3 linked regions of the Sus scrofa genome follow. The protein of the gene in region 2 interacts with the protein of the main gene of each other region in a pairwise test. Links are inferred from orthologs where the notes say so. Each region holds a gene or a part of one and is shown on either strand. Other genes may lie near its edges.

What was found.
Region 1: the proteins of FAM131C (region 2) and HPCAL4 interact in binary tests that used the Homo sapiens proteins (3 or more experiments, as listed by UniProt). The two-hybrid records come from large-scale screens. The link is inferred for Sus scrofa from reciprocal best matches to the Homo sapiens genes FAM131C and HPCAL4.
Region 3: the proteins of FAM131C (region 2) and VSNL1 interact in binary tests that used the Homo sapiens proteins (3 or more experiments, as listed by UniProt). The two-hybrid records come from large-scale screens. The link is inferred for Sus scrofa from reciprocal best matches to the Homo sapiens genes FAM131C and VSNL1.

What each region holds. Positions count from the first base shown.
Region 1 is NC_010448.4:95,513,073-95,517,455, forward strand, and holds the start of HPCAL4 (hippocalcin-like protein 4), read right to left. Parts: upstream 2,821-4,383; 5' UTR 2,640-2,820; intron 1-2,639. UniProt on the Homo sapiens protein: May be involved in the calcium-dependent regulation of rhodopsin phosphorylation.
Region 2 is NC_010448.4:75,198,545-75,202,140, forward strand, and holds part of FAM131C (protein FAM131C), read right to left. Parts: intron 2,795-3,596; coding exon 2,679-2,794; intron 1,801-2,678; coding exon 1,765-1,800; intron 1,518-1,764; coding exon 1,424-1,517; intron 1-1,423.
Region 3 is NC_010445.4:120,285,301-120,289,585, forward strand, and holds the start of VSNL1 (visinin-like protein 1), read right to left. Parts: upstream 2,858-4,285; 5' UTR 2,490-2,857; intron 1-2,489.

The sequences.
Region 1 (4,383 bases), about 20 Mb from region 2:
GAGAATGTTTTTTCTGTTATTGCCCAAAAGTACAATATAAACTAGAGATAGATGGTGGCCTTGCCCATGAGCCCCCTCAAACTCCAGAGTCCTCTAGAATCTGATGTCAAGGTGTCTACCTGTCTAGCCTCACCTCCCACTGCTCCCCTCTCAACTACGTACTTTCAAGCCAGAACCTATTTCAACTATTGCTTGGCTGTTTTCATCTTCCCTAATAGCCTTTCTGCCCTTCTGGGCTGATGCAGCTATAATCAGCCTTTGGGCCTGACTGAAGCCCACTGCCTTATGATCAGCCTCCCCCAGCCTGGAGAGTAGACAGTCAGCAGCATGGACTTGGCATTCTGGGCATGGAGTTGAGCCCACAGGTGCATAGACTCCAGAGTCCTCTGACCCTCACCTGGCGCTCTAGAATTCGGGAATAGAGCCTGATTTGGGGGAGACCTTTGCATTAAATTCTTGCCTGAGCCAGGAAAAGTTCTCTAGACCTTTTGCTCCATGGCAAAGAGTTTATCCCTACTTGATGTAACCCAGCCTTCTTGGGAGCAGCTGGGCCAGTGAGAAAAGTGTTTCTCCCACTGTTCCTATCGTGCCCTCTTGTAGCTGCCCCACGCAGGTTTCCATTCTGCCCTCTGTGACAGTACAGAACTGCCCTGCAGAGACCTAAAGGCCATGTCTGGAACACAGACATGTTTAATGAATGTCCCTGCATGGATTATATGGGAGAGGCAGAACCCCCTTTTTTCTCCTTGAGATGATGGCTGGCTGGTTTGTTTATCTGTGTTCTCCTGCCATGGCACCTTAGAGACAATGGGGAAAGGAAGAGTTCACCCAAGGTCAAGTAGAGCCCGTCAGCAGAAAGGTGAAGGCCAGAACCCACTGGGGGCATGTCCTGTTGCAGCTGCGGCCATGCTGAAGATGGGCAGGCTCCTCTTGAGGGCTGCCCTCCAGCCTTGAAGGAGCTGGCACTGCCCCATACACAAAGCCGCTGTCCCTCTGGGCTCAGAAGCTACTTTCAGAGGGCAGGGCCCAGGAGTGTGGGCTCCAGAGGGAGAGGTGGCAGGAAGGGTGGGAGGGACTGAGGGAGGCAATAATCCCACACCCTCACCCAGCTTCAGAGGAGCTGGTGCTGAGACTGTTGCTATGGTGACAACAGCTCCCTGGTCAGGAGATTTTTCTCTTTCCTCTCCTTCCTTTGCTCTTCTCCAAGCAGCGGCCATAGCAGCAACAGTCAGGTCTTCTCCTTCTCCTTATTATTGAGAAACAGGGGATGACAAAAAAAGGGTAGGTCCTGTTGAATTCCTCTACCCTGAACCTGCCCATGTCATGCGGGCTGATGACCTAGGAGGGACTCCTAAAAGCTGAGAAGAAGCCTGGGTCTGGAAAGTGTGTGGGAGGGGGTGGTCCATACTCAGGTCTGGGAAAGAAGCAATGTCCTTTCAGTGAGGACTAAAGTCCCTGAGGCTTCCTCTCTCAAATGTCCTAAAGGTTCAGGGAAAGAGGGAGAGGGCCCTGTTTTCTCATAATCAGCCACAGAACCAGAGTATGTCAGTGCTGGAAAGCTGTCCAAGATCATCTCATCAACTCCACACTCTGGCTTGCCCACACCAACCCCACCCCTGAATTCCCCATTTGGTGGAAGATCAGAGAAGGAAGTGACTTGGCCTAAGTCAAACAGCCACTGAGGCAAAGGCAAGATCTGAGCCTGGCTCTTCTGCCCTCCAGGTTCAGGCTGCCTTAGGCAAGGCACACCTGGAGCTTTGTCATGGTCCCTGTGGAGCCACAGGAAGATAGGAGAGAGGGAGCGGCTGGATGCCAGAAGTCCAGGAAGGGTATGAATTAGATATTTGAGAGGTGGAATGAGAAGACTTGGTGCTTTGGCCGTGAGGGCTGAGAGCTGGGGGAATGGAGGAGGCTGGGTGGGACCTTGACGGTCTGTTGGGGGTGTTGTCCCTGGTTCATCCTCCCACCAGGCAAAAGAGGCCTGCGCCTCACACTGAGACCCTGGGCAGGGGGGCTGTTGAGAGAGTGTCTCAAGGAAGAGAACTGGATGTGGGAGCCTCCTCCCTCCCACAAGTATGCTATGAGCTCTGTCAGCTTGAGAGCTGGAGGTGCGGACAGTCTGAGGCGACAACGTGAAGTGGGAGTGGGCTCTCTGTGGAGGCGGAGGCTGTCTTGGGGGCCAGCGACATTGTGGTGTGAAGTGCAGTGACCTCTTGGTGGGGTTGGATGGTGTGCGGTGAGGGCTACCTGTGGAGGTGGGTGGTTGCCATGGGGCTGGGGCAATCTCCCATTTCCAAAGGAGGGAGAGTGATGGGTTCCTTCGTTGGCACCAGCAACACTGCGACCCCAGGTGTGTGTGTGTGTGTGTGTGTGTGGTGTGTGTGTGTTGGGCGCGAGAGCAGTGGTTGCTCTGAGAGTAAGGACACGCTTCTGCCTCCTTCCCTGGGACCTGTAGGGTCTGGAATGGACTGGAGGGGTGGGGAGGAATCCTCTGGCCAGGGGCGGGCTCTCCATATACTGCCTCCTATGGTGGAACCAGGGGTCAGGGAGATGGATCAGAGTGGGGCAGAAGACGAGGATGGGAATGGAGAGTGGAGGGGGAGGGGACAAGGGCCTCCTCCCGGCCCTGCCCGCGTTACCTGAGGCCGAGCGCCGGGTCGCTGGATGACTCTGAGCCTCGGCGGGCCGTGGGGACCGAGACTGGCTCGCGGGCCGGCCGCCAGGTTCTCCAAGGTCCGCGCCGGAGCCGCCTCCCAGCTCTTGTATCACTATGTGTCTGTCGGAGGCGACACGATTTGCATAAGCCCCGCCTCATTCTGGGCAGATTAGGCGTTGATTGGCTCGGCTGAGGCGGAGTGGCAGGCGGGGTTTCAGGTGGGGACCAAGTGGCCAGTGAGGCTGGGCTACAAGAACGCGCCCCGCCTGCCCTCCCTGACCTTCCCAGAGTCGCGAGGAAGAGGGAGGGCTGTACCCCCATCTGTCTCCCTCCCCGAGGCTCAGACCCGGGCCTCAGGGGTTAAAAGTGTCCACGATTGATATGGATCCGCGAAAACAACCGCACGGTTGCTATGGAAACGAGAGAGCCACAGCCGAGTCTCTAAGCCTTTCCTTCTTGGGCCCCAGCGGGGGTGGGGACAGAAAAGGGGATGAGTCACAAGATGTGACCCCCTCCTGTATCTCACCCCAAATCAGAGGAGGGTGAGGAGGAACTGAGTGGGGAGGAAAAAGATGCGGTAGTCAGCAGCCCACGCCTTCTCATCCCCCTTCCAACCCAACCACCCCTCTCGCCAAGGAACTGAGAGCAGGCAAGTGGACGGGGATGGCGAAGTACCCAGGCTCCACTTAGCCCCACGCTAGTCCTGGGCCCCTTACAGCCTCTAATTCCGATCCCTCCCCAGACAGACTTTCCTTATTTCTCAGTCTCAGGAAGCCTCCTGGGATCTCTCTGCCTACCCTATGGACCCCTCCATTCCCCACCCTCCGGTCTCCTTAGACGAAGTCTGTCCCCAGCCGCCGCCAGTCTCTGGCTTCGGATGTTGACACAAGCCCGAGGCGGTTTACACTGAGCAGGTCTGGAAGGTTTCAGGGCCCTGGGAACACCTCCTCCCGCACTTGGGGGTCTCCCCAAAGCCCTGTCCTGCCGCCCCAGCTGCAATGGAAGCTGAGAGCTCCCGACCCAAGGCGACGAGAGGGAACCTTTTTACTCCAAGCTGGGGGAGGTGGGGGGGGCGAGTAGGGAAGGGGAGCAGCCAGCCTCTGGCTGGGCCACGTGCAGGGGAGGGACTGCTAAGCATCTGTCAAAAGTAGGGCGGGGAGTCTGGGGATTAGTCCAATCAGAGCTGGGATGCTAAAGAGCCATGAGGTGGGAGGGGGAGAGGCGGGACTTCTGCCCAAGAAAGCAATTTTTGCGGTGGGCGGGGCCAGCTGGTCAAGAGCGAAGGCTTGGTTTCTCGGCTGATCCCAGAAACTTCATGGCCAGGCTCGCTGGGGAGAAGTCAGTGGTGTTCTCTCTTTTTCTTTAGGCACCATCCCAGTCCCTCTTGAACCTGTTTTGCTGTCCCTTCCTCCTAGCTGCAGGCGTCCTAGTGGGATGAGAGCATACCTGGGGCACCAGTAAGTAGGCACGTCCCTGTCCCCTTTGGTGACTGACAAGGGACAGGTGTTTGAAAGCCCTGACTCCGTCACGTCCTGAGCCTCTAGCCCTGGGGACCCATCCCTGCTCACTGATATCATAATCCAAAGCATGAGGAAGTGGAAGTGGCAGCATAAGATGCTGGAAGTGGTCTCTAGAATTTGAAAATGGAGTCCCGTCTTTGCCAATGACCCCACATAAGACCATGGGCAACATCCTTCTCACTCTGTGCTTCCCAGTCTGTAAAATGT
Region 2 (3,596 bases):
GCTGGAGGGGTTCTTGGGAGTAGACGGGTCGGCTGTGAAAGGTGACAGAAAGAAGGTCATCAAGAACAGTTCAGCATCTCCTTTAACCAAGGCTGAGAACACAGACCTGGGGGTCACTGGTCCTAGAAGTCGTGCATGTGAGGAAAGGCAATATTTAAGAGAAAAAAACAGATGTATGACTCTGGGGAAATGGGGGGATGGGGGTGAACAAGCAGGGGGTGATCCCCCAGGGCTGGGGAGTCTGGCAACCAGAGAGGGTTTCTGGGGGGGGTTCAGTGGCCCCCGAGGGGCAGATGGGGTAGAGGAAAGGGCAAGGCAAAGGTCAGGGGGCAGCAAGGGCCATGAGGATTTAATGACATGAGAGCCTGAGGGACAAGGAGCAAAGCTGTGAGCAGAGAGGAGCTGGCCGGCTGAGGACAGCCTGGGAGACCTGGTGGCCCAGCGAGGCCCCTTTCCCGGCTGCTGCTGCTGGCAGCTCACACCCGCATCCTTCTCAGGAGCCTTGCCTTTGGCCAATGGGAACTGCCTCACCTGGAGAAGCTGGGGAGGTGGGAGAGCCCAGTGGCAGCCAGTGACAGACTGCTGGAGGAATAACATAAAATCAGCCACCTGGCCTCAGCGCCACGAATCCCGTGGTGCGAGTCATGCTCCGGAGCTCCCATGGAATCGGGCTGAGAAGGACAAGACTTCTGCCACCACACCTTTGCCGAGCTCCCTGCCCTGCCCTGTGCTGCTGCCCTGGCTCCCTTCCTTCCTACAGGTTCCCTTCCAGAACACTCCCTCAGCAAATCACTAGCACGACAATTCTCAACTCGGGCTCTGCTTCTAGGGAACCCCAACCCATGCTGGCCTGAGTGGCAGATTTCAACGTCTGCAGAGGGGCGGGGAGACCACACGGGGCAGACGCCCGGAAAATCAGGGCCATCTCCCAGAACTTCTGGAGGATACAACAATTCAACACACGGCAGCGGGGGCGGGGGGAGGGGGGGCGGTGCCAGGGGCAGGAACCCTAAGTACTGCAGGGCCCAGCATGGAGCCTGGCCTTTAGAAAAAGTCGAATCCGGAGTTCCTACTGTGGGTGAGCCTGTTAAGAACCCAACTAGTATCCATGAGGACGAGGGTTCGATCCCTGGCTTCACTCAGTGGGTTAAGGATCAGGTGTTGCTATGAGCTGTGGTGTAGGTCGAAGACGGGGCTTGGATCTCACGTTGCTGAGGCTATGGTGTAGGCCAGCAGCTCCAATTTGACCCCTAGCCTGGGAACTTCCATAGGCCACAGGTGCAACCCTAAAAAGGAAAAAAAACAAACAAAAATGTTGACTCCAACAGGGTGGCGACCCTTCCAGCTGCAATTCACCTTTGACCTTCCCACAGCTAGTGCCTGGGGGTGGGGGGTTGCCAACTTCAAGGGCAGCAGAGCTTACCCACAAGGGATGAGGTGGCTAGGGCTGCCACGTTATAGTTGCTGGAGCACGACCTGGAGTCGGACAGGTAGCCATTGGTGGTCTGGAAGCACCTCTGCAGGAGGGGGAGGGGGTGAGCAGGGGGAGGCAGACCTACGAGATGGCATCCCCCACCCCTCCCAGCCCCCTTACCCACCCTCCCCAGGTACTCTGGGCAATCCTGCCAACCCCCACAGGACCTATGTCCTCAGCACCCCCCCACCGGGTGGGCAGCTCCATGTGCCCGGGCTGGGCCGAGCAGAGGCGGGGGCAGCAGGGGCAGCTGGGGCTGGTTAGACCAGGGGCGGGGCACGTGCACTGACCTGCCAAGGATCCCAACAGAAATCCATCTGTTTGTCCTAAAACAAAGGGAGAAAGAGGAACAGGCGGAGCCTGGCACAGTGTGCCAGCAGATGGCATGAAGCCCTGGGTCAGCTTTCTGGTGCTCCCTGAGGTCAGGGTCTGCCTACTCATGGGTTATGCCCTGGTGTCCCCTGGCGGGGACAGAAGTGGTCTGGGGGGTGGAGGCGGGGCAGCGGTGGGTCTGCCAGGAGAGGCAGTGGGTACAGGGGCTGGATCAGATCTGGGTTCGAGTTTTGACTCTGCCATTGCTACCTGGGTATCCCTGGACAGGTGCCTGAACATCTCAGAACATCAGGTTCATCTTCTGTAAAATGGTCACAATGCCATTTACCTCCCGGGCTGTTTTGACGCATAAATGACATAATGTAGGCAAAATGCCTGGCACAACACTTGGCCTGTGGTATATGCTCCAAAAAAAGGTAATTGCATTAACCAGTAGGTTCAAGCCACAACCTCGGGGGCAAAGGTGGAAATTATGCACCAGGATTGGAGGCTCCTTGCTAGACCTTCCAGATCTCCTGGACTGAGAATTCCAGGCCTTTCCTCTCCAGCAGGCAGTGCAGGCTGCTAGGGAGTCGTGGGCTGGTAACAGAACGTGTTACCCGCAAGCCTGAGTTACCTTGGATGGGAAGGCTTCAGCATGGGGCTCTCTATTCTCAGCAGGCTGGTTCAGTCCTTGGATGCCCAGCCAGTTCAGACCTTCATCCAGCTGAGTACCAACCCTTAGGGGCCCTGATCCCACAGGAAGTAGCCAAGCCTGGCAGGTGGAAAGGAGCTTGACATGGCTTCTGCTCCCTCTGGGGACCCGTAGGGCACAGCCCAAGAACCAGGGCCTAGTGCAGGAAGAAGGTGGGGATGAAGCGACACCAATTACCTTGCCAGTGACACGGTCTGGAGCCATGATGGGTGGGCAGCTGGAGGGCAAGTTCGGGCTCAGAGGGGCCGTGCCCTGGGGCATGGGGCAGTCCTTGTGGGCACTTGTGAACAAATCTGGAAATAAGAAAAACAGGTGGGACTTAGAAAAGCCCAGTGCACTCTTGCTTACGAAGCTTGCTCAAGCCAGTTCTGAGAGACGGGGGGCGTTTCTTTCTTATTCCTCAGTCACTTTTTTGTTTTGTTTTGTTTTGTTTTTGTCTCTTTGTCTTTTCTAGGGCCGCGCCCACAGCATATGGAGGTTTCCAGGCTAGGGGTCGAATCGGAACTGTAGCTGCCGGCCTACACCACAGCCACAGCAACACTAGATCCAAGCCATGTCTGCGACCTATACCACAGCTCACAGCAACACAGGATCCTTAACCCACTGAGTGAGGCCAGGGATTGAACCCGCAACCTCGTGGTTCCTAGTCGGATTCATTAAGCCCTGAGCCACGTCGGAAACTCCACTCAGGTCATTTTGTAGAAAACAGACTCGAGGCCACAGGTGAGGAGTCCAGTCAGGTCCCCTCCTTCCTGGACCCCTCAGCAGGGACGGCTCTTCTTTCATCAAGACGGAAAGCAGACCATGTGATCCGTGGTGGAGAGAATGGGTCGATGCCTTCCAAGCCCCCTGGATCTCAGCTAGAGAGCTGGAGAGAAGCCAGCAGCAGGGTGCAGGGAGCAGCCGGGGGTGTCTGTGTTGGAGGTTCCAGAAGGAGAGGGGATGAGGTCGCCAACCTCGCCGGAAGCAAACTGGCAGGTGTCAGAGAAACAGAGAAGGATCTCTGGGGAGCGTGGGCACTGATTTAACCGGAGGCTGGTGACTTTCCCCAGCAACGTGCAGCTCTGAGGGTTCAGGCACGAAGCAGGTGGAGGG
Region 3 (4,285 bases), on a different chromosome or scaffold from region 2:
GAGACAGGTAGAAAAGAGGGGAAGGCTGCCTGCAGTGTCTCAAAAGGCTGGATTCCCTGAAGGATTTGGGGGAATAGAGTAGAGAGGGGATGGTGATGGGCCTGGACAGTTTTCAAACAGGAGCTGAAGATTCTGACTCGTTTGCCAGTTCTCTTCAATAACTCGAAGGATGCCAAAGAACTTGACTGAGGTACAGAGGAGGCCAGACTAAACATCTAAGGCGGCAGGTATATCAGACATGAGGGGTGAGAGAAAGGAAATAGAGACCTCACACAAAAAAAAGAGAGGCAGAGAAGGGAAATATGATAGTGTGAAAAGGAACCCCTGGGACTTTCTCAAAAGATGTGCTGGGGTGCAGGTTTTTATTTATTTGAAGACGTCAGCAGTGTCACTAAGGATGCTAAATGTGCAGAGAGAAGGAAACATTTCCCTTCAAGATTACTTTTTAATTCTTGATTCCATAGGCTAGAAGTTAATTGACTTTTCCCTAGCTCCAGGCTCCGGGCCTCAGTTTCCTCATGTGTAAAATAAGGGTTTGGGCTAGATGCTTTCGAAGGTCTCTGCCCGATGTGACCCTCTAAAACTGTCAGCCTATGAACCAGAGTATCCGAGGGCAAACATCTGTGAGCTTTCAGACCAGGTTTCCCATTCTTTCTCTAGCACCCATTTATCAGTGTGGGGCAACACCCGCACCATTCAGGGAGCTGATTCCAACTCTCTCTGATGACAAGGAGTATGGCTCATTATGACAAATGATTGGTCCTTCTGCCCTGGAGTAAAGAAGAGACAAATGGAGAAGGCAGTCTGATTTACACTTTGGGTTTCCAAGGAGAGGATATTCTCGAATTTTCTATTTCCAATTTCATCCACTTAAATAAATGATAAAATTTCTTCCAAGAGTTCCAAACAGTTGGACTGATTAAAGGGCCAAAAAGTCCTATAGTAATCTGTCCTATCTGGGGTAAAATTTATTTCCTTTCATCCCAGAAATTGGATCTGCTTTTTCCACAGAAATCCAGCATACACTGGCCACGCTCTTCTCTCATCTGCCTGCCTCATGCCATTCTGCCAACCTGCTTCAGTGCAGCATTTTCTGGGGTTATTAAACACCCAAGCTTAATGAGAGGGTACTCACGAGTGAGGTGTTCGATGATGCCAGAGGCCGTTCCCCCCCCCTCCAACATTCACATGTAGGCAGTTTAAATGGCAGTGAGGATAAAACGTGTTTTCCCGAGAGTTTCCTTTTTAATTTGTCCCAACGTGAAAATTAAAAAATTAACATGCAACAATACAACTCTTTGGATCCTCTTGTCTTCAAGTGGGCTGTGACACACAGGCAGTGGCTACACTTGTTTTCTTTCTTTCTTTCTTTCTTTTTTTTTTTTTTTTTTTTTTTGCACCCACTAGCATTTCCATCTCATTTTAGTCTCCAAAATATGGACAGGAGGGCAACTCTAGAAAAATGGACTCCCACTCTGGCATCTCACAGGGCACTGATCCGTGCAGTGCTGAGCACTCGCATGGAGCATCCCCATTTCCTGCCCCCTCCCCCGATTCACCAGCGCCCCTGATTTCCTTCCACAGGGGGTTTGACCTTGCAAAGACCCTTCTTCCGTTTCTGGGCAAGGAACAGCCCGTTTTAACTCAAACCACGAAACGACCCCTTTCTCCTTTAAAGAAACGCTACCGAAGGTAAAATATCTGGGTAAGAGACGTTTTTCAACCCTGCATGCAAGAATGCGAATACGGGATGCAAAAGCAGGTAACTAGTTTGCGTCTGTCAGTCCCCGTTCGGCGGCTCTGAGTCTCAGACTCTGTTCAAAATAGACGACTAGACTGGGCGGTTGAACACCGTCCCTTTTTCTGCTCATTCACCATCGTGACGAAAAATCAAAACCGAAAAATGATCTAATCATCTCTAAATACTCAGAGACATGTGCTTATTCTGCGCCTACCTCGGTGTTTCTGAACACTCACATCCTCTTGGAAACCCACCCTGGTTTCCACACCATCTCATCCACTCAGTTTTACTTAACGAACACGTTCACTGCTCTTCCACGGTGAGAAAAATGGTGCACCAGCCCCACGGATGACAGGTTGGTACTTGACTGCAACCGCTCAATAGTTTTATCAGCAACCGGAAAACTTCACAATCGGTCAATTAACTACTTAAATCGGTGGAAGAAAAGCTGCTTATTTATAGACAAACTTAAAAAGCACCTCTGTTTCACCTATCTTAAAGCTAGCCTAAGATAAGCCCCCAAACACGCCGCATACAAACACTCCCCCTTCCCCCACCCCCATTATTCCAAAAGGTCCCTCTCGGACTAACTGCAGGTTCCATCACCAGCATTAACCAAAGCAGTTCTCACCGTGCCTTTAGCTGTATCTATGCAAAGCAAAGTATGTGACAATAGCCAAACCATCTCCCAGACAATTGGCTGCACTACACATGCAAAAATGCAACGAAGATTGTATTTTCCACTTACAGTTATAGCGCTGCGCACGGTCACTTAACGACAATGATAAAACTCAACAGTTCTTTAGAAATAACTATATGTGTATATATTTAATTCGGATAAACGGTTAAGCCGGCTCTGTGTGTGGTTCTCTCGCGCTCTTTTTGTCTCCGGAGCTCCAGGCTGCTTAAATCCCTCTAGGATCGCGCCTTGCAAGTCCAGCCGCCGCCGCAACGCGCTCCGGTAAATCTGCTGCAGATTGGGAATCCCATAGAAAAACCTAGGGTCCCTGGAACTGGATGCGCAGGCGCGCGAGCCTCCGCCTCTCCAGGCACCCCCTCCCCTTTCCCCTCCTCCCTCCCTCCCTCCTCCTCCTCCTCCTCCCGCTCCGCAGCACCAGCTCGGAGAGCTCTGGGGCCGGTGACCAAAAGCAGCCAGGCGTTGGCGCATGCTCAGTTCGAGGGGCTCGGAGTTGCCGCGAGTGGATTCCATGTCTCCAGATTTTAGCAGAAACTCAAAAGGAAAGTAGATAGGAAAAGGGAGCCTGGCCTCTGGGGCAACCCGCACCTGGACAGGCGGAGCAAAGTAAGTTACCCAGTCTGTTGGCGAAGGCGAGGCCAGAGGTGGAGAGCTTAGAGCCCGCTTTTCCCATGGCCCTCAGCCCTAGAGGGCCCTCGGCCCCCCTTTGTCAGCTTTAAGGTGAAGGTGATAACTTGCAGACATACCTTTCTCTGAAGGAAGCGTTTCCAGTAAGCTGTGAGGGCATCTTCCTGGCTCAAAGTGGAGAAACTCTTATGGTGGGCAGTTGGCGTGAGCCATTTCTTCCGAGGGTCTTATACTGGGAGGACTAGGAGCTGGCCTTTTAGTATCCGCTGCTCAGGAGGGTCCGAGTCCAGAATGGCGTGGAGAAATGTGTACTGAGGGGACCTGGGTTTGAAGCTTCTTGCCTTGGGTGACCTTGGGCGAATCATGCTAATTATCAACATGTGTTTAACAAGGGCCTTCTTTATGCCCTTAAGACGTTTTATTGAATATGCTTGGGGAGGGGGGCAGTGAAGGGGAAGGAATGAACCACTCTTGGAATTCCAGGGTTGAGGGCTTGGACTAAGACGTCTTATAAAGTCCTCTTCTTTTTTTTTTTTTTTTTTTTTTTTTTTTTTTTTGTTGTTGTTGTTGCTATTTCTTGGGCCTCCACGCATATGGAGTTCCAGCTAGGGTTGAATCGGAGCTGTAGCCACCAGCCTACGCCAGAGCCACAGCAACGCAGGATCCGAGCCGCGTCTGCAACCTACACCACAGCTCACGCAACGCCGGATCGTTACCCACTGAGCAGGCAGGACCGAACCGCAACCTCATGGTTCCTAGTCGGATTCGTTAACCACTGCGCCACGACGGGAACTCCCTAAAGTCCTCTTCTGTGTTTCTGAAGGACTAGGACGTTGGCCGGCCCAGCCCCGTCCTAACTGTCCTAGCCAATGCCTAGAAGACTTGGCAAGGAGTAGTGCCCAGTAAATGCCTGGTCGCTTCCCTACCAGAAAAACAAGGAGAATTCCCACATGTTCCCAACCTGCCTCAATGGTGTTGTTTGAATAACTCAACCACCTGCCTACTGACTTAAGGTACCTTTCTAAGCTTTGGTGATACCAAATGTACACCTCCAGTCGAGGTGTATCTTCAGGCGGTAATTGCACTTTCAAGGAGGGAGATTCTGGAGGCGCTAACAAGATCCAAGCAGAGAGCTTTGCAAAACGCCTTCAAACCATATCACGTCCAGGAAAACTGCAGTTAACCTTTGGGGTCTGAGGACACCAAGAATATCTCCCGTG